3 linked regions of the Caenorhabditis elegans genome follow. The protein of the gene in region 2 interacts with the protein of the main gene of each other region in a pairwise test. Each region holds a gene or a part of one and is shown on either strand. Other genes may lie near its edges.

What was found. The genes of interacting proteins can lie anywhere in the genome.
Region 1: the proteins of drap-1 (region 2) and ceh-43 interact in a two-hybrid assay, tested with the Caenorhabditis elegans proteins (one large-scale study listed by BioGRID).
Region 3: the proteins of drap-1 (region 2) and pag-3 interact in a two-hybrid assay, tested with the Caenorhabditis elegans proteins (one large-scale study listed by BioGRID).

Annotation. Positions count from the first base shown.
Region 1 is NC_003281.10:4,444,874-4,451,909, forward strand, and holds ceh-43 (Homeobox domain-containing protein), read right to left. Parts: upstream 5,071-7,036; coding exon 4,842-5,070; intron 4,737-4,841; exon of another isoform or gene 4,658-4,736; intron 4,363-4,657; coding exon 4,233-4,362; intron 4,175-4,232; coding exon 4,099-4,174; intron 2,729-4,098; coding exon 2,489-2,728; intron 2,144-2,488; coding exon 1,970-2,143; 3' UTR 1,777-1,969; downstream 1-1,776. UniProt on the Caenorhabditis elegans protein: Probable transcription factor. Binds to the sequence motif 5'-ATAAT-3' in regulatory elements. Required for development of the anterior hypodermis during embryonic morphogenesis for cell adhesion; also affects embryonic and larval viability.
Region 2 is NC_003283.11:9,729,813-9,736,604, forward strand, and holds drap-1 (Transcription factor CBF/NF-Y/archaeal histone domain-containing protein), read left to right. Parts: upstream 1-2,146; 5' UTR 2,147-2,352; coding exon 2,353-2,425; intron 2,426-2,702; coding exon 2,703-2,944; intron 2,945-2,993; coding exon 2,994-3,617; intron 3,618-3,721; coding exon 3,722-3,778; 3' UTR 3,779-4,210; downstream 4,211-6,792. Other genes in the region: cal-7 (EF-hand domain-containing protein), read left to right, coding at 4,291-4,381, 4,425-4,492, 5,124-5,504.
Region 3 is NC_003284.9:14,948,976-14,956,366, reverse strand, and holds pag-3 (Zinc finger protein GFI1 homolog pag-3), read left to right. Parts: upstream 1-1,718; 5' UTR 1,719-1,845; coding exon 1,846-1,927; intron 1,928-1,973; coding exon 1,974-2,084; intron 2,085-2,129; coding exon 2,130-2,264; intron 2,265-2,314; coding exon 2,315-2,412; intron 2,413-2,461; coding exon 2,462-2,529; intron 2,530-2,587; coding exon 2,588-2,709; intron 2,710-4,306; exon of another isoform or gene 4,307-4,456; intron 4,457-4,548; coding exon 4,549-4,640; intron 4,641-4,690; coding exon 4,691-4,787; intron 4,788-4,910; coding exon 4,911-5,016; intron 5,017-5,067; coding exon 5,068-5,167; 3' UTR 5,168-5,615; downstream 5,616-7,391. UniProt on the Caenorhabditis elegans protein: Transcription factor. Plays a role in the determination of neuroblast cell fate and neuronal differentiation.

The DNA of each region.
Region 1 (7,036 bases), on a different chromosome or scaffold from region 2:
TCAGGCGCCGTTCCGTCGATTCCGCCATTTCACCGCCGACACACACACGTTGAAATGATGGAAAAACCCCTTTTGATGAGAGGAACGGGCGGTATGTGAAAACAGACTGATGAGTGATTTATTGAGAAAATGTCAATGAAATTTAGTGTTGAAATTTTGGAATTTGTGACAGGCAGGCAGGATCCTGGCGCCTACCTGCCTGCCTGTCGTGTCTTGTCGGCGTTTTTTTTCAACATAAAAGTTAGAGTTTAAAATTTTAAAAATCGCAAAAATTGAAAATTTTTAAGCGTTAAAATTATAACTTTAGTTTAAACAACTTTAGACGAAAAATTCAAATTTTTAACTTTTCAAAAAACATTTTTGTTCGGGAATTTCAAAGTGTTAATTTTTAGAAAATTATTTGGCATAAAAAATTTATAATAAAATTGTTTAAAGAATCATGATTTAAAAAAAGCTAGCATTTGAACAAAAAAAACAATTTCTAAATATTTTTCCCTACAATACATCTACCGTACCACTATCATATCTACAGTAAAATATCAAATCCGCTGCTAACTTTAAGAAAAACTCTTTATATTTGCAAAATAGTATGAAGATTTTAATTTTTTATTCACTAAAAGTACAATTTACAGTAAAAAAGATAGTATATCAATATGATAGGAATCTAATTATAAATAAAAAAGACGGGCACCCGGTTGGCCGTTGGATTAAAATGAAAAGACGAAAAAAACTGGAATCGGTGAAATTGAGTTGAAGACATGAGGAAGGGAAAGAAAGTTTTAAAGAAATGAGGAAAAGCACACAGGTTGAAGGGAGTTTTAAAGAAGATCGGTAGAGATCTGAACAGTTAAAGTAAGTTTTTTTTTCAGAAGTAAGTATTCAGAAAGTAAACTGGCTCTGATCTCAAGGAATCGCGCCAAAAATCTAGTTTTCCGCGATTTCTAGAGATCAAACGGGACCTTCTGAATACATCATTTATTTGATAGAATCATTCAATTCAGCTGGGATTTCATTTTAATTGAATTTAAAATGTTACATTAAATTTAAATTTTTAAAAAATTGAATGAAAATCTCAAACAAATGTCTAAAATGATAATAAAGTCTTCTACACCTGAAAATGAGGGTTTTGGAAGGCATTTGAAAATGTAAAAATGAGCAGACTATCGCCGAATCTTGCAGGGGCACTAATATGGTGTAGCCGATGAGGTCAGATGATGCGGTGATTTATATGTTGGGTTGGTAGAGCTGCAAAATTTTCAGATTATGGAAAAGTTTTACTTTATTATTGTGTGCCTACTTGCCTGCCTACGTGCCTACCGCCTATTTTTTTTACTGCAAGTCGCATTGTAGGTAGAGAAGCAGGCGGCTTTGTATTTTGTAAAAATTAGACAGAGAATTGCAAAGCTCAGAAGAACCAAGTTTTTCTTTACGGTTCTGTTTCAAAATTATCTTCAAGTTAGTTGCAAAATGACTAAATACTGGCTCCACCCAAGAGTGTATTCAGAATTTGTTTCCAATTTTTCTATTTAAAAAAAATTATCGGGGTTTTCCGAGAAAATCAAACAATTAAAAAAACCGTACAGTTTATAAAACCAGGAAACTATTGGATTATAGTAAAGTCAAGAAATTATTTTAAATACGAAATTTGCCAAAAAATTAGGAGACTTTGTCTGGAAACTCAAAAATACAAAAATTTAACTTTTCGTCGATTGATAATTCTTGGCATTCTGCCATTTTTCAAGTAAAAAACTTTAAAAAAGCAAACGTTCAATATCGATTTATATATCAAAAACCATGAGACCATAGAAAAGTTTGGAAAGAAAAAAACACAAATCATCGAGAAAATCAATATTTTCTAGGCTGACAGCTTATTCAAAAGTGAACATATTTTAGCAAGGTACTACAAGAGCCTTGTAAAAAAGAATTTTTTAAATTAACTGACAGTCAAGAAAAAGGAAATATTATATCCTCAGACATACTTGTAAAGAGTATTCTGGTATACTCCATTTGTGTAGTCAATGCTAGGATAAGCGCCTGCCGTATTGTAGAGCGCATTGTTGGGGAAACCCTGTGACGGTGGGAGAATCGTTGAAAAGTCGGATCCGTAGAGGTAAGGAGAAGCATATTGCTCGTTGAGTGTCATCTGAAAAATATTAGGAATTATTATGCTTTGCGAAAGAGCTTGAAAGCAGACGAAGAGTGTCTGCCTGCGTGCCTACGAGGCAGGCGTGGTCGCCTTCTATGCAAACTCGTACCTGTATCTGTTACACGTATGCGTGTGCTTTTGTCAATGCAGTCACGCAGGCACACACGAGTTTTTGTGCCTACGTAAACTGCTTGAAGGCGGTTGCATTTTCGGACAGCAAAACCGTGCTTTATTTTACAGCAAAATTTCGGTGAAGGATTTTTGCAACTCAAAAAAGTTTTCAAAGAATTATTCAAAATATTTCTAGACTTGGTTATCAGATAATCAGCACATTTCACTAACCGGTGGATATTCCTCTTTCATTTCAGTTTTAATTGAACTAGATACAAGTGTTCTTGGCTCACTGCTCTCCTGAATCATAACCGATTCTCCCATCGGTGGACTTTCAGGCTTTGACTCTTCCGTATCATCATCTTCTTCATCTGATGCATGATCCGAACTTCCACCCTTCTGTTTCTTCTGCTTCGAACGCCGATTTTGGAACCAGATTTTCACCTGGAATTCAGTGATCGGTTGTGCTCTCTAAATTTTAAAAGATTTGTTTAAATTTTTAGCGCAATTTTATTGAAAAGCCCCACATCGGGGCCGGTGTGCCAATTGGTTTCCGATCCGTCGATTTTGCAAAAACTGGGCAATGTATACATAGAGAGATAGACCCTGCGTGTCCCTGTATGACATCCGTGAAAAGACGGAAGAGAGGGAAAAAGAAGAGTAATTAGCCATCCGCTAGTATGTGGTTGAATAGAGGCAAAGATTCCTATAGAGGTCACATTCACTCTTTTCATGAACTAACCGGCTGGATGTCTAACCACAAGAATCAAGTGTACTGTAGAATCACCCCAAAATTTTTGAAAGAAACATGAACTGGGTAAACTGGATTCAGAATCTCAAGTTTTGGCAGAATGATTTATGAACATTGCACCACATTTTTCACGCCGGTTTTAGCGATCTAATTTGAAGCGTAAATCATGGTGCATCGAGGTTGTGTTTTCATATTTTTTGCTCGGTTCGGATTTTTTTTCGATCACGCTACTTTTAAATAATTGGTTTAGAAAATCCACACACAATTTTCCGGACACCCAATACCAATGTGTCACACCTGTCAATCAGGCGTCCGCCCCCCGTCCGTTTCCGCTGACTTTAGATAAAATCTTGGCAGGACACATGTTTCTGTTACGGTATGATTGATATACCCGTATCCCACTTCTCAAAATTCGATAAGCATCTAACACCTGAGCGCGTGTATTCTTAAAGCTTCTTCTCCTATTGACGTGGCATAATTATGTGTTAGTTGAGAGCTTTCTCATTTCATATCCCTCGGGATATCAAAAACAATAATTAAAAGGCGATACCAGCATCTATGTCAAAATTGCGACCGCTTTTCCAAACATTCTTCAATTCTCTAAACTCAATAGCGCGTATAAAACTGGAGGAATGCACGACCTTCTCAAGACACAGTTAATGGTACTGTTTTTACGGTGAATCAAATGAAGACACGTGTGTGTCAGAGGAGGAGGGGGACTTGGATCGAGGGATTAGGAAGATTACGACTGGATTATTACATGATGGTGTGCATTTCGTCAAGGTCATTGATATGGCAGTGGGGTAAGCGGAAATTGTTCGAAAATTGACAGCCAATTTGTTAATTTTCAACTAAATTTTAGAATTTTAAATTACGAAACACACTTACCCCGATGCACCATACTTACGCGCCAGTCACAAAAATTTTAAATAAATTTCGCGCAATTTTTGTAGATCAAACCGCAACCGGACCTTTTTAATTCACGTGCAAAGATTTCAATGTTTCTCGAAAATGCGGGCCTAGTACATCATATCTTACGAGCAAGTTGCATTATATACAAAAATCTCCCCAAAATAACAAAAATAGTTACCTGAGTTTGTGATAATCCCAATTCATGTGCCAATGCTGCTCGATCCGGAAGCGCCAGATATTGTGTTTTTTGGAATCTGAAAATGAATTTGAATTAATAAATTTGCAATTTAAATAATTTTGAAAAAAACAAACTTTTTCTGAAGCATTTGCAGTTGTGATGAGTTGTAAATTGTCCGTGGTTTCCTCATTTTCTTTCCTTTCACGTTGTACTTCGCCTCACATCCTTCCACGATTTTTGTAGTTGTGTGCTCGGGAAAAGCTTCTGCAAACTTTTTTTATAATAACCCCTTTTATGTGCTAATTTTGATGCTATCTATTTCGAAACCAAATCAAAAGCAAATCATAGACCTCCATTTCTAATGATCTAGATATTTGGAGTCAAAGTCAGAAACTCTAGAAAAAGTAACACATTGGATACAAGTGCTAATGTTAGATCGCGTTTGACGTCTTTTACTTTTGACGATATTGGTAAACCTAGAACAATGACGTGTTTTCAAGATCTTTAGTTTAGATTTTGAAATTTTTAAATGAAATTTAAATAAAATTAGTTAACAAGCTTCGACCACGGCAGGATTCGAACCTGCAATCTTCTGCTCCGTAGGCAGACGCGTTATCCATTGCGCCACGCGGCCACAGTTTGAAGATGAAAAAAGGTACTTATCAACTCTCCTAGGTGTCAACAGGAGACCAAGTTAAAGCAGTTGGCAATTTCCAAAGCTTTTTCAATTCCGAGTTTCATACCTTCAGGTGAGCTTCCTGGCCCAGGAGGATACATTGCATAGGCACTCGTTTGCTGTGGTGTACCATACATAGAACCACCAGTTGCTCCATTCGTTGATGACGTCGGATAAGCATGGTAGGGGAAATAAGGGGAAACGTTAGATCCAGCTCCGTTGCTTGTGGGTGGAGCTACTCCAGATGTCTGATAATAATCTCCAGCAACATATTCGAATCCTTTTGATGGGTCCATCTGAAAAAGAAAGTAATTAAAAATATACAAAATTAAGAACTGAAGAAATGAGACGTAATCGGAATAAACACTCTGAAAATGGACAAAAAGGTGAAGAAGTAGAATGAATGAAATTGAAAACTTTTAAAATTCTCACACCATTTGAAAGGTTGCAGTTCTCACACTTTGGTTTTTGCAAGTCTTCGAGAACGACGACAAAACTTTTGATTCATGATTATTCGGTTAGTTTAGTTAGTCTCTACTGTTTAAACAGAGGAGCAGTGCCATGACATTCAACATAACATTATCAGTAATGACGTGGCAAACAAATATTTCGTAGTAGCAAGAGCATCAACTTTTCAAAAATAAAAAAAAACGAATGTGAGATGAGAAAAAAGTTTCGACCACGGCAGGATTCGAACCTGCAATCTTCTGCTCCGTAGGCAGACGCGTTATCCATTGCGCCACGCGGCCACATTGTTTCGCGATGGAGAAGCTGGACAGGAAATTCATCAAGTGATAAGTACATGATAACGATAACAACTTTCATCTAGCATGCATTTTAAACAAAAATCAGTTACCATAAACTTTGAAGACTTAGAATTAGCTGAACTGATGCACCGAAGTCATAACCCTATCATTATGATCCCCAAAAACTTCTCACACCCCCACACAAGATCCAACTTCAACAAATTTCGGGTCAATTATCAACGGCAATTTAAAATTTCAGATGGATGGCAGTTGAGAGAGAGAGAGAGAGACAAGACGATTACCTAAAATTTGAGTGAAAGAAGAAGGAAAAGAAGAAAGGTATGAATTAGGATAATAAGGGAGGAGATGGAAGATTCAGAAGATTCAGATGAAGAAGAAGTAGTTGAAGAAGAAGAAGATTATGATGATGGTAGTGGTGGGAGGGAATGGGCACTAGTAGGCACATACACATAGCACAACACACCATCGCAAAAGGGGGAAGAGAGACGATGCGGGATGTGGAGAGGAGACACCTCAAAACTGATGGGCGGTACGTTGGTTGTGGGCGGAGTAGTCGTCTCCTATTGGACACAGTATTCTCTGGGTGGAGCCATTGGGGTCGCTAGGTGACCATCTTATCAGAAGATTTATCTGAAAACTTTTTCACAACTCGATCCCCTACATATCAAATTGTTTAATGATGATTTCAGAGCGGATGGGGAGAGACAAGACAATTATTTTGGAAAAGTGCCGGGGGGAGAGGCTGGCAGTAGAGAAAAATGGTTGAGGTATAATTTAGCCCAATTATCTTTCAGAGTGTGTGTGCCTCAACAGGGGGACCCCGCCCTATATTGTAGCTAATTGCTGGGTGTACGTGGTGTAGAGAGAATGGATAAAGCGAGAGAAATAGTGAATTGTGGCTGTAATTGCGTGTAGCCAAAAGGGCCTCAATCTTCTCGGTCCCCACCACACCGCCGGCCGTCATCATTCCTTCAGTTGGAACTGAGGCGTTCCCGTGCCCATTTTTTCATGATTTTCAGAATTTTTGATTTTGAAGCTTTTTTGGATAGTTTCTATATCTTGGTCCTTTGCATTTGAGCAAGTTGCCCGTGCACACTCCTGGCGAAGATAACATATGACTGCCTTTCCGAGTACCATCTTGGGGAGACATCTTTGTGTCAGCATGGCTTCCAAAATCTAATTCATTCCTGATTCCAGAATTATCCCCTCAAATCCCTTATATGAGCTCTGTAACACTATTGCTCTTCCAAACTGTACATATTTTATCCAGGTGGTAAAGTCTGTTCTTCCAATCCAGTAAGAGTTGTCACCTAATTAAGAATCCCAACTTTTTCGTTCACAGCTTCAGAATCTTTAAGGTTTTGCCGTCGGCACCATCTGCCATGCTCACGCCAACTGTTCTTTTGTATTTCCATTTTAACTATAGTCTAAAATGGACATTGAGCCACCACACAGTTCCAATTTTTCAATTGTCTGATTTTTTTCGTAGGAACGA
Region 2 (6,792 bases):
TTTCCTTTTCTCTATTTTCGAATGCCAAAGTTTTTGATTTTCTTTTTTAGGTAAAAATAATACTCAATTAAAAATAAATCGAGAAAAAAAAACCGATAACAGCGTTACATCGAATGGTGACGTTGACAAAGTGCCTGCTGTGTACATTGGTTTGAATGAGCGTCTATAGAGCGTGCTTGCATAGTTTTCGAGTTTTTGAAATGCGGGACGTTTAAATCAGAATTATTTTGTTTTTTCTCTTGTCTACTTTCATTTATTCTACAATTCTCTTAATTTATAAAAATTTAGTAATATTTCAGATACTTCGACGACGTGAAAGCCATTTGAGACTTCAGCAGCAGCCAATTGTCACTGGTGAGTTCTTTTATTGGTTAAAATTTAATATTGAAAATCGATAAACTAAAAAACTCTGCATAATTAAATAGTAAATTCGTGTTCAATTTCGTTCTTTCCGAAAAACAATGTTGAATTCAATCGTCGACTGAATTTCTGATTTTTTTTTCTGAAAAGATATCACATTTTCTATTAATTCTAAGTAGTCTGAACCAGCTGGGCGACAATTCCAATTTCGCTATTTTGACAGTTAAACAATTGCGGAAAATACTGAGTTATCGAAAGTTCATCAATTCATCAATTTCCAAAAATGCCGATTGCTGGGAAATTGAAAATTCTCTAAAAATGTTCATATCCAAGAAGAAAATCTGAAAATCTGTAAATTTTTATAAGTTAATATACAAAGAAAAATTAGATAAATCTTTTGCCACAAAAACTTCACTGCTGTACGAATTAAATTTTCTTTCATTTGTAGATTTTTTTCAAAATATTTTAAATGTGCACAAGACATTTGGCCAAATTTTTAACTTGATCAATGTCGATCAATATATTTGCCGAAAATGTTCTTTTGCCGCCCATCCTGGTCTGAACTTAAAAATGTTTGCGCAAATTTGCCTCTAAGTTTTTTTTCTAGTAAATTGGAGAATAAAAATTCGCAAAAAGATCTCAATCACCTCATAGGCAACAATTGCAAAAATATCCGTTCAATAATTCTTTATGCAAATACTGAACAGTTAAGATAATTTCATCATTTCAATATCTCGACTTTGCTTCACAAAAGAACAATCAATAATTCGACGGCAAGCTGACAAATCAGCCATCTATCCATCTGTCCGTCTGTCCACACAAAAACATACAAATCGAGTATGCGGAGGAGGAGTCTATGTTCTTTCCCTCAACTCTCTGCTTCTCTCATCTTCTCTTCCCTCTCATCTCGGCCCGTACAGCTGCATCAAAGACTCTCAAACATCGGCGCGGCGCGGGCGCACGCTAAATAAAAGGGGGAAAAGGTAGTGAAACGACACGTGGAGACGCAGAACAAGCAGCGGGTACCGTAGTCGCGCAGACCTGCGAATCACCGATTTGTCCGCTGTATATAAAGGAGGGAAGAACGCGAGGTCTGCGTGTGATCGGCCAGCGCCTTTCTGCTCCTATTCTCCGTTTTTCCCCCTTCTATCTCCTCTTTATACACTATTTCCCTTAGATTCTCTCGTCTCCTCACCGAAGCGCTCAATCACTCGTCTTTACGCGCTCTCCTCCAGTCCTGGCCAGTAGATGTGTAAGTGTGTGTGTGTGCGTTGACATCGAATCGAATCGACACGACGCAGAATGGAATAAATGGCGTTATCATTAAAGAATGAAATAACCAAAATGAAAGCGAGAAATAGAAAAAAGGAAGATACCATCACGCCTCTTTTTTGTTATCAATTGTTGTACTGATGTGATGATCTATATTGTTATAGTGATCGATGAGACCCGAACGGCTGTGTACATACAGAACATATAGAACATAACACACTTGTTGCGAAACGGAGTTGCTCTAACGGGAAATGAAATATAACAAAATCTAATTATCTGAATCCCTTTGTTACTGAGCACAGAATATTTTAATAATTCCAATCAATATCAAATAGTGACCATTAATTTTAGAAAAAAAAGTTTGCGTTGATTATTCATGGGCTCTAAATGTCTTTTCCAAAGTTGTTAAGAGAGCTTCTATGAATGAAACATCATGTCCTTCTTTCATGGTTCAATAATCTCTCATTTCATCGCTTTACCTCAAGAGTATTATACAGTAGCTTCCAACTTTCAGTTAGTCTCAGGCCCATCATCGATGACGTCTTCGGAATAGTTCTATATCTCTCGAAAACCACCCGTTGTTCGTTCTTTCTCTCTCTCATTTTGTGCCTCCAAATCTCCACAACATCGTCTTCTCTCGTCAGCAACGTTTCCGTCGGAGACACTGACACTTTTGGAAGGAAACCAGAGAATACATATTTCGAGAGAGGAGAAAACAAGATGGATCAGAATAGAGGAAGCGATGTTGGCTTTGCGGTGCCGATGTTACCCGTCAATTATGCATCGGCTACTCGTTAGTTTTGACCTTATCTTTTAGGGTGGATGGAACAAAAAAGAAACTCGATTATAGATAATCGGAAAACGTACATTCATAAAATCTTAAAATGAAAGCTTATTTATTTTCAAAAACCCTTAATTTGTTTTGGGTAAAACCGTCAGTATCCGGCATCATTTCTGGATCATGAACTATCTAGAAACTTCAAAAAATATGCGACTTAAAACAATTTGTAGATGTAATATCTAAGAATTAACAGATTAGGATCAAATCGTTATTTAAATTTATTTTTCAGAAAAAATGTCAACGTTGGCATCCACTTCATCAGCCGGTGCTTCATCATCAACAGGTAGCAGCAACCAACAGCAGCAACAGGCAGCTGCTGTGATCCGAAGACGTCGTTTCAGCACTGCAAAAATTCAGCCAACACGCATAAAGAAGGTTATGCAAAGTGATGAGGATATCGGAAGAATGGTTCAGTCAGTTCCTGTCAGCATCGGAAGAGCAATGGAGCATTTTGCGGAGAAGTTTTTACAGGTGAGAAGACTCAGTCATAGTTATTTTGAACCTTGAATATATATTTGAGGCTGCCGCAGAAGCTACTCAATTCACATCTTCAAAGACGCTAAACCCTCAACACATGAAGCAGGCGGTTCTCAACACTCCACACTTTTCATTTCTAGAATCAGTCTTCAAAGATGTTGCACTTCCACAGCAAGCATCTGAATTGAATACTGCACGTACCGGCATGACATTGAGAGGACAGCAAATGCTCCAAGAGCAACAAAATTCAGATTTTGCTAGTGCAATTCTTGCCAATGCGCAGATGCAAATGATGCAAATGGATCAACAAGCATTGAAACAAGAAGATGGAACTATTTCTCCTTATTTAGTTGATCCGCAATCCCCAGCAGCACCACTTCCACTTTATCTTCAAGGGATTCCATCCAATTATCCAGTAGTTCAAGAACTCACAGCCACCGTACCACTTTCTCCTAGCACTCCGACAACTCAACTCGTAAATGGTATGCTAGGAATGCTCAAATACTCGAAAAAAGATTCTGAAGGACAACGTCTCACAGGATTAAAACGAGCATCTACTGATGGTGATGGAGAAGACAGACCAAAGCGAGGACGCCCAAAGAAGTTAAAACCTGAAAAATGTATTGATGATGATCTCTACGAGGAAGCTTCTAGGAATATAGCCAAGGTAATATTTGAAAAGTTTAGACATAGAATCAAAATGTTCTAAAGATGTAATTTGATTTACGGTTCTGTGATCCTTTTGATCTAAAGCAAAATTATCATTTTCAGGAAGACAAGGATCGCGAGTTGATGCCTCCTCCAGCACTGCCTATTGGCCGTCCGTGATCCTCACTTCTCTATGAGAAATTTTATTCTTCTCCTAATCGTGTACTTTTCAATGGTCTCGTTGCCCTCCATTTCTGATCTAAATTTCTCCTTTTCTATTGCTCCAAGTTAAGAAAAAAAAAACAAATCCTCACCGGGTCTACCCTATTCTCTATTTCTCTTGTTTTATTCATTTTTTGTCGTTCACTGGCAAATCAAAATTTAATCACTTCGATGTTCTCCCAATATGAACCATTACCGACCCACACCTTCATAAATCAGGATGCTCGTCGCTTTTCATTAAACCTTCCAAATGTTCTCTGTCATATGTTTAACTTGTTTTGCTCTTTGTCTCTCTAATTCAATTTTTCTCTTCATTTTTATATTTGTCATGCTTTAGAATTCAATTTCCGTTTTTGTAGTATTTAATATAAAAATTATTCAACCAGAAAACGTATATTTCCGACAGAAAAGACCACTAAACTCGCGCAACAACTAGAGCGATCTACATTATATTAGTATTCAGCTAAATTATGGATCTGAGCGAAGATGAAGATTTATTAAACATTGAAGAAGAAGGGGAAAATGAGAGCCAAAAAGAAGAAGTAGATTCTGTAATTGTTGGTTTGTAATATTTTGTCCAATTTAAACAAAAAAGGAAGTTCAGAAGATATTCGACGTCGTCTTTTCGATGTATTCAAGATGTTTGACGAGGATTCTGATGGTTTGATTGAAGTGAGGATTACTGTAGTTACTGTTGAAACTTGGCTTTTCACGTGGTGCTTTTCTCCAACTTTCTACTCATTTATATCATTAAGAACCGGATCAAATAGACATTCCACCTAGTGTAGGCGTCACGGGGAGCCTATTCCCGCCTTCCCACTCGCCTTCCTCGCGCCCTTCAGTAGGGTGAGTGAAGAGGCGAACACGCCTCGAGTGCATGAAGTTATTTTTCATACTTCATAAACTCTTAAATGTTTCTCCTGGCTCTTCCAATTAGTAGGAGCGTCGTCAATATAAAAGTTGTACCTATAGCTGAAAATTTCTTATTGATATTCGTTGAAAACTCAATTTGCATCTCTATAGGTTTTCTTTGTTTTCGATATTCTAGTATTGTTTTGGTTATTTTTATTGTAACAGTTTAGAGATTCAAACCCGCGCCAATGCATGAAATATCTCAAAAAGTTCACATTTTTTGAAAAATTTGGTAAAAACTGACTCAAATTTTTCAAAAGTCGAAATACTTTTTGGAGAGTTTTATTATGATATTCGGCTATTATGGACCTCCACTGAATCTTTTAAATCCACTGAATCTTTAAAATGTCTCCACTGAATCTTTTAAATCTTTCTTAAACTGAAATTCCAGACCGACGATGTGAGTCACGTTCTCCGAAGCTTTGGATTGAACCCCAGTCAAACGGAATTGCAATTGGTCAGTGAACAAACTGCAAAGAAAAATGGAAGAGTTTCATTCGATGACCTTCTGCCCCGTGTCGTATTGGCAATTCAAAATGAAGAATGGAAAGATGATACTCCGAAACAAATCCATGCTGCATTTCAAGTAATAACATCTAATAATTATGTTCAAAAAGATACATTATTGCAATTGCTCACTTCAATTGGAGAACCATTGACTCCACAAGAAGTTAAGCAATTTCTGAATCATGTCAGCATTCGAGCAAATGGAGATATTGACTGGGTTTCGTATGTTAAAGACACTTGCGAAATGATTACTTCTAGAGATTAAATCTTTAATTTTAGTTGTAAGGATTATCACTTTTTTTTTTGGAAAATTTCTATAAATCTTCATAAACGTGGATGCCTTCAACCATCCCAACTTTGTTGGAAACTAAAGCCAAGAGAGCAAATTTTCCAGAAAATTAAGATATGTACGTTTCAAATCTTGCGTACCGTCTGAATTTAGTTGCAAACCCTTTGGACATGGCCTTGTTCTCAGAAAAATAACATTTTCACAGACCCACTTACACTTCTAGTTATAACCTTGTGACACACTTTCTTTTGGATCACTGGTAATCGTAACTTTATGATGAGTTGAACAACTTTCCATATCAAAACTAGACATGAATAAAAGTGATTCAACGATGTACCTTAGGGCGTTGACGATCAAATTATCATTACCTACGGATAATCAGTATCTATTATAATACGAATATGTCTTTTCGGTGATGGAAATGTCTGAAAATCGTTTAATATGTTGCAGACGGATAATTTTAAACAATACAAGAAGCTAACTCGTCAATGTTTTAAATACATCGTGAGCCCGTTGTCCCCAGAATTTCAGGCCGTGCGTGACTGCAAAGTTTTCAAAACCACAATTGCACATATCAGCCCTCCTTTTTGTTGGGCCTCTAAAGAGCATGACAACTTTATTTGTTAAGCAAAAAATTACCAATTAGTTTGTGTTCTACAGGGGAGCAACACAAAGGTTTTTTGGCACTAAAGATCCTTCAAGGTTATAATTGCCACGTTTTCAGAAAGACTAACAGCAAATTGAAACACGGACTACTCGTGTGTTATTTATCAGATCAACTGCAATCATTGCATAGTTCAAAAATCTCTACATATAAACCACTTTTCTAATTAGAAAAAAAATCGGTGCAATCTCTCAAAACTGGACACGGACTGTTTTTATTTAAATACATTTTATGCCAAGAAATATAAATAAAATAATATAAATTACTTTTCCTAAATGTTCCTCAATTTATATATTCTTAGTCGTTTTGGTCTAAACTCTCTGGTCATTTAGAGCAACTTAAAATAAAATATCTACACATATTACAGTCGATCTTGGTGCAAATAGGGAGAAAATCCAATTCATATTTAGACCCATTCATCAATATTTCAGTCTGTTCGGTTATCAGTTGATGCACAGCGTTCTATAAATAATCCGTGATAAGCCTCTAGCTCATTGTCACATTAAAAAACGGCGTCGAAATTTGAAGAATTCGATGATAACTCCATTTGACGGGAAATAGTGTGTAGTATGGTTAAAAGTTCAAGTTTTGTACGGGTAT
Region 3 (7,391 bases), on a different chromosome or scaffold from region 2:
AATGTTAACATTTTTGTAAAACATCCAAAACTTGACCTAAGATAGCTCCCCAAATGCTCATAAACCTAACTATTTCTTAGACTTTTTTCCATTTTTCACGGACTTCTTCTTTTCTAATTAACCCAACACGAAAAACAATTCCATAAATCAAAAGACCGTATGCATTCAATTCAACACCCATATCGCTATTTTGGCTGGGTGTTGTTCGACACGTCGTTTCCATCACACAGTGAGCCCACCCAACTCAAATTCATGCATTAGGATGACACTCAATTTATTTCAATCTTCTCGCTCTTCCCCCCCCCCCCCTCTTCCTCCATCCCTGGAACCCCCCGCCATCACTGTGGGAAGTCGTTTAAAAATGCATAGCACCGGAGGAGCGATGGAAGGTTGAGTGTGGAGAAAAGAGCTCGGAAATGGGTATACCATTTTGAAGCCAACCCAAAAGATTGAAATGCGATTCGAGAAATTGAAATTCCAATGGATTGTCTTCCCACATGTTGAAGAGTGCGCAAGCTCGCATAGTGCACATGAATACTAATTACGGTACGGGGAATGAATACGAATTAGCAGCAGACACTAGATTTTTGACAGGCACTGCCAAATCCAACTCCAGAAAGTGAATTTATTTACAACTGATCTTGTTAGAATTCTGCAAGTTTTGCAGAAGTTTCTGAGATATTTAAACTACTGTGAAAATACTGTAAAATTTTCACATTGTACGACCTGCTTCAAGTTATCAACTTCTATTATTTCCAACTAAAAGCTCTCTATTTCTTGAAGCTCGAGTTCCTTGTACTAAGAAATCGTGGGATTTTTAGCTCTATGAATTTTCGATGAAACAGTTTTTCGACGTTTCCTCTTTTTTGCAGATTTCCTACTTTCGCATTCTGGCAGTGAGATTCTTGCGCTTCACGCTCTTAAAAATTCCATTAATGTCCCTTACATGCCCTTTGCTGGACAAGAAGAGCAAAGTGTTGCTCACACTCACCAGCGCGCCTCCGATTATGTCACTTTGAGTTCATGCTTGAACTACATCGTAAATCGTATGAGATTATTAAAACAAGCATAATAGATTGAGCATAAAACCTGACCTCAAGGATTCTTTCTGCTCTTTTTCCAACGCTTCTCTTCCCCTTTTTTCGACTCGTCTACAAATATGCTAACCGAGAGCTCGCCGCACACTTTGCCTGCTGGGGCGGGGCGATCCAATAACATGCATCTGAGGGGAAAAATAGGAGGCAGGGCAACATGGTCGAAATGAAGAGGAGGAGGACGGATCAGTGCTGAGATGCATTCAGATTCTTCCACAGTTGGGTTTTTGAATGTAGACCAGCTCGAGTTTCAAATCGTCACAGCTCGGACATCCAAAGCCATCCCCCCATTTACCCTCTGCTTATAGGGATGTGATGCAGTTTGATGTTCATATTTATTATTTATATGCTTATTTTCACACTACGCCGAGCACAAATGACAATGGCTTTGAAAAAAAAAAGAAAGATTCAACTCGTTTTCACTTCCTGCTAACTTTCCAGTTTCAAATCTTTAATCCATTCCAAAGTTCCTAATTGGCCTTGATTTCGTCTTTTTCTAAATCCTCAGAAATCCCTATGGACCCTTGATTTGACGTCTTCATCTTCTTGTTTTCCCATCCGCTGTTCTTGTCTCATTTAATCCAATTCTCTAGAAATCACAAAGATTTTCGTTTCTTTTTTTTCAGTGGCTCAGCGAACAGGGTGCCAAATTCGAATTTCAAGATTTCAAAAATTTTTATTCAAGGCACGCGTTTCCAGAGATTCGTCCTCGTCCTACTCCCTTATTCATTTTTTGTGTGTTGAGACGAAGATGAGCACTGAGCACGTGTCAAATGTCTATTCTGTTGAATCGTTACTCTCGAACGTGGAAAAGTCTAGTGTTTCACCAACAGGTTTGTGCATAAATCTATTTTAATTCAAAAATAACGACATTTTCAGAATCAATTGAAGATAGAAATGAGTTCATGATCACAGAAGATGTGATGAGTTCTTGGCAGAGAATGGCCGCTACCATATCACTACAACAAAAGCTCCTCATGATGCAGCAAAGTATGCTAGAACCTCCGAGTTTCCAACTATCAAGTTTCATTTCAGCAATGCCCCGTCCTCCTCCTGTAAATATTCTTGGAAATTTTCCATTCGGATTTCTCAACGCTCCCATGTTCTGGCAGCAATACCTGAGGAGTATGGCAATGGGTATCATCCCTCAGAACCCTGAATCACCATCAGGTATCAAGCTTTTTGAACATTTATCTATTCACATTAATATGTATTTTAAGCTTCAGTTTGGAATCGAACACCGACACCTCCAGTGGAAATCAAACCGTTTCATTGCCAAAAATGCACAAAATTATTTTCTACCATAGCTGCTCTAGAGGTGAAACCAGTATTTTTAAAATAATTTTCAAAAATTTAAAACTTTTCAGCAACACCAACAAGTACACGTCAGCGATAAGCAATTTGAGTGCAAGCAGTGTGGAAAAACCTTCAAAAGGTATGCACTTTAATTATCATGAAAACATAATTTAAAAAAAAGTAAATTTCAATTTCAGATCTTCCACCTTATCTACACACCTTCTGATTCACTCCGACACAAGGCCGTATCCATGTGAATACTGTGGAAAAAGATTTCATCAGAAGTCGGACATGAAAAAACACACATATATTCATACAGGTATGTTGGTAAAATTGATAGGATATCCTAGATTTATCGATAAAGATAATATTTATAACAGCAAATAATAACGCAATTCTGCTCATAAAGTTAGGTTAAAATTAATTATTCCCAATGAAATACAAAATTTAATAATTACAAACACGCTGAACGTATGTATTTTGCACCCAAACCACTAAATTGCCTATATTGTACATTGTGCTCAAAAACACAAAATCCTCTATGACATGGTCTCGCATTAGGATGTTGAAATTATAAAACTAGCTGTGATGCAGGAGACACTACGGCGTAAAATCGATATAAATTTTGCTTGCAATATGATACATGAGTACTTCAAAAACGTGGGATTTTCTGACAAACCTATTTTTTATATGTATATGTTCGTTTAAGCTTTTGAATAAATATTCAATGTAGCCAGTTTTTAGAAAATAATAAAAAAGGTTTTATGACTTTTCTTTTAATTTTTTTTGAGTTACCATTTTTCCCTACTAGTTTGGCATCACTTATTTCTTTATGTGACAGTTTATCTTAAAAAATATTGATAAGTGTTTCCAGCAAGGTTTCATGCTTTTTATAGAAGATTCAAAGCCCTAGTTCATAAGTTCAATTAACTCAAATTTTGTCTTTGAAGCGAACCACCATATCTTTTTCAATTACAATTTCAACTCGTTTTAAGCAATCATCGTTTATTTTCGCTTAACACGATTCATTGAAAATTCAACTCTGAAAGAAGAGAAATCGTTATTCTGGTTTATTATGAATCGAAAAGTTGTCAGATGCGTGTGCACATGAGCCTCCTCTTCTTTTCTGCGCGCCCTGCTCATCTCTAAGTATGATTGATGAATCAGTATGAAAGAGTCGAGTCATGTCAGTGCCCCTCCTCCCTACCGTTCCGCAACACAAATCAAAATTGAATATTAAATCGCGTTTTTGCTATCCCCCTCCCCCCCATCCTCAACTAACAGACTCCCCGAGAGGCAGTAAACCACAGCGAGGAGCATCGCTGAGCTCAACACAGCTTGAACATTGCAAAATTGCTTCAAATTAAAATTCTGAGGGGAGATGTCAAAGGTTGGAAGTAGGGGGGGGGGGGTAGGGGTAGGGTATTGGATAAGCGCGGAGAGAAAAGATTCTTTGAATGACGTTTGAAAATTAAAAACAAATTAAATCTTGTATGCTGACAAGCAAAGCAATCTACAGAAGTTGACAAGAAAAAGAAGCAATGAAAACTTTGGGATTCCATCTCTAGACGGGGTTTTGCTGTGCAACAGAATAATAACAAAATTTGTATTTTTTTAAGGTTCAATTTGAGACAATTGCTATAAATTAAACGTTGCCTTTGAAAATAAAACATATATTTTTCATGGACGCATTGAAAGTTTGTAGTGAAAAGTAATTCACTTATTTTATAAAATACAAATTCCCCCTAAAACAGGGTTTCAAAAAAAAATTATATTTTGACTGCTGAGTTCTAAATATAGTTTGAAAATTTATTACACAAAATTAAAAAAAAAAGACAAAGGTTGTCCGTTTGGTTCAAGGGTGAGCCGAAGCCTCCTGCGGCCCAGAGATTTATCAGGGTTACTGGTTGCGTTTATATCTCTTCTAGTCTGAATTAAGGCCGTACCGGGACTAGCAGTATGCTCCGATTTACCTTTCGTGAACCAAATTCACTACCCACTTTCCACGCCGGCTGGGTGAGCTTTTGGGGTGTGGTGGGATTGAACTTGCGACCTCTTGGGCGACAGTGCTACACCACTACCACTTAGCCACCCGTGCCCAAAATTTATTACACAAAATAAAATGTCTAATCTAAAACTTCCCATACTTTATTTTCAGGTGAAAAACCACACAAGTGTACTGTATGTGGAAAAGCGTTCAGTCAGTCTTCTAACCTTATCACCCACACACGAAAACACACTGGATTTAAGGTAACAGTTCTCCTTTCCTTATTCTTTAAAAATGAGGTCATTATCTTCAGCCATTTGCCTGTGATGTATGTGGTCGGACGTTCCAACGCAAAGTGGACCGCCGTCGGCACCGCGAGAGTCACCATCCGGGCCACCCCGAAGAATGCGGTTCGTTTTTCACTCAAATTTCAGCCAATCAAGGACACCATTTTCTCGTTGGTTGTTCCTTTTGAAATGCTACAGTACCCCCCTCCCCCCCTTTTTCCATCAAACCAACCGTAACAATTGCAGTGTCTGCTTCTCAAATTTCATCGGATCTCTCCCCGAAAGGATACATGACACCTCCGACGAGCAACGGGTATCTCGACTCTTCCGATGAATTTCTCAACGTGTTTAGGCATGTTCACAAACAAAATTGTGCAATCAAATAAAACTGTGCTTTTTTTAGATTACCCGCCGAGCTGCTCGCGATCAAAGCAGAGATGGGCGAGGAAATGGAGGAAGCTGATGATGAAGAGGAGAAAGTACTGAATTTGAGCGTGTCATAATTTGTGTGAAATTCTTGTATTCAAAGGTAATAAGGACAATGAGAATTGTGCTGGTTACCTTTGGTTTTTTGTATTTAGTAAAAAATTCCTTTCTATCTACTGACATTTTTCCTTACCTCAATTTCATTAACACAGTTCACAAACTCGATGATTGATCTCTTATCCTTAAACAAGCCTCAACATCAATTGTCATCCTTTTTTCAAAACACATACATTATGTACTGATTATTGTTTATATCGCTAATGGTCAGACGTTTTATACATATCTGTTCTTTTTCAGTTCCTTTTCCATAATTTTATGGTATTGCGATGTTACACGCACATATGATGTATTTGCTTTTTTGCTTTATTCAAATTTCCCTTTTTTCAATTAACAGTTGTTTTTTTCTGTCATTTTTGAAATGCTTTCGGTGAGTAGCCTAGCCTTATTAATAAACAATGTTTAATATTGAAACTCGTTTATCAAATTTTATTAACACGCACTCAAGTCAGACCCGATAACTTTAAAATTGCAAGTAAACACGGTTTTTAAAAAATTCAGTACATTTGTAGAGCAAAATTTTTCAATTAAAAAAAATTAATATAGCAAGTAGAAAAAATTTGAATGCAGCTTTATGGTACTTTCAGTTCAAAAGTTTGGCAGTTTACCAAAACTTTGGAACTTATATAATTAGTTTTTAAATATTTGGTAATTTTGGACTATTATGGGTCTGACGAGATTTGTCTGGTTCATCATGCTCTTTCATGCTAGGAGATAATTTTTCGGTTGATGTGTGAAACAGTCACAAAATTTTTGCACCCATTTTTTTTTCAAAAATCATTGAAATTTGTAAGCTATCGGCTTTAAATGTACCTTATTTGGAGATATTGAACAATATAAACTACCAGAATATGCAAAAAGTCAACATCGGACTGATGCGACACAGAAAAGTGGGAAAAATTTCGAGATTCCAGCTAAAATCAGTGCAATTTTGTCGAAATTTTGAACCGCCATAAAAATTTTTCGAAATTTTTTTTTGAGAAGCTTAATCACGAATATCGTTCATTTAAGCTTGTTTTGGGTCTATACATTTCAAATCGTCCGAACTGTTAGTCCTTCTTTAACTGAGAAACAACGCAAAATTAATGCCAAAAAATTTGTTCAATGAAGAATGACTGATTAAATGTCAATTAATAGCCGCTGTAAAAAAATGGTAAAAATTCGAAAAAAGTTCGTTAAGAAGCTGCAACTGAATTTTAAAATAAATTCAAAGACGTATCACATTGGCCACACATTCCCAACTTTCAGGGTACCTCTTGGTACATTTTTTTCAAATTTTCAAATAATATTTTATTTGAGTTGGTTTTTGGGTTCCTGTTTCATTCTGCTACTCATTGATGTACTGATGTACTGATGTTCTCCGAAACTCGTAGCAACAATTTCAAAAATTCTCATTCCCAATAAAGCCACAATGCGGTTACGAAGCCTCGGAAAGCCATGGTTGAAAAAGAAGATTAAAAGGACAGGAAAAGAAAAAGCCAGCGAAATTAGGTCATTTCGTGTGACTTACAAATAGCATAACCTAATCACAAAGCACCTACCAAAAGCCACCGGAATATGGGTGTTGAGGGATTTTCCAACTGATGCAGTGCAAGTAATTAGTTTGGAAATGAGCAAAACCCGCCGAGAAGAAAGACCGAAAGATGCTACGAGGAGTTGTCTTTCGGGGTTTGTGAAATGAGACACAACTTCTTTGCTGGAAGGAATTTGAGAAATAATTTTGTATATTAACTTAAGTCATGTTTGCAGTGATGTTGAGAATTTTATTAATGGTATTTATAAATTACAAAACCTTTTTAAATTGTATATTTGGTAGTAAGTTCACAAATGTTACCAAATTTGAATAACTATTGTAAAAATGCACTTTGATTTAAAAAAACCACTGATAAACTATAATAAACTATAAAACTGTGCAAAGATGGCAGTAATTAAATTGAAAATGATTTGCGGTTTTTGCTGCAAAACTGTTAGTTGTCTTGGAAATTACTATAGCAGGCCGAAGTCAGAGATAAATTCAGGCCAAACATTTGCAAGAAACATCAAGAGTCTGTAACATTGCTTTTGGAGCAATTCTTCAAGCTTCATAAGTAGTGAACAAGAATAAAAAATGAAACGATTATCTAGAAATCTAATGTCAAAATATCACCCTTTCATTATGAATGTTTGAAAAAATCTCCAGATGTG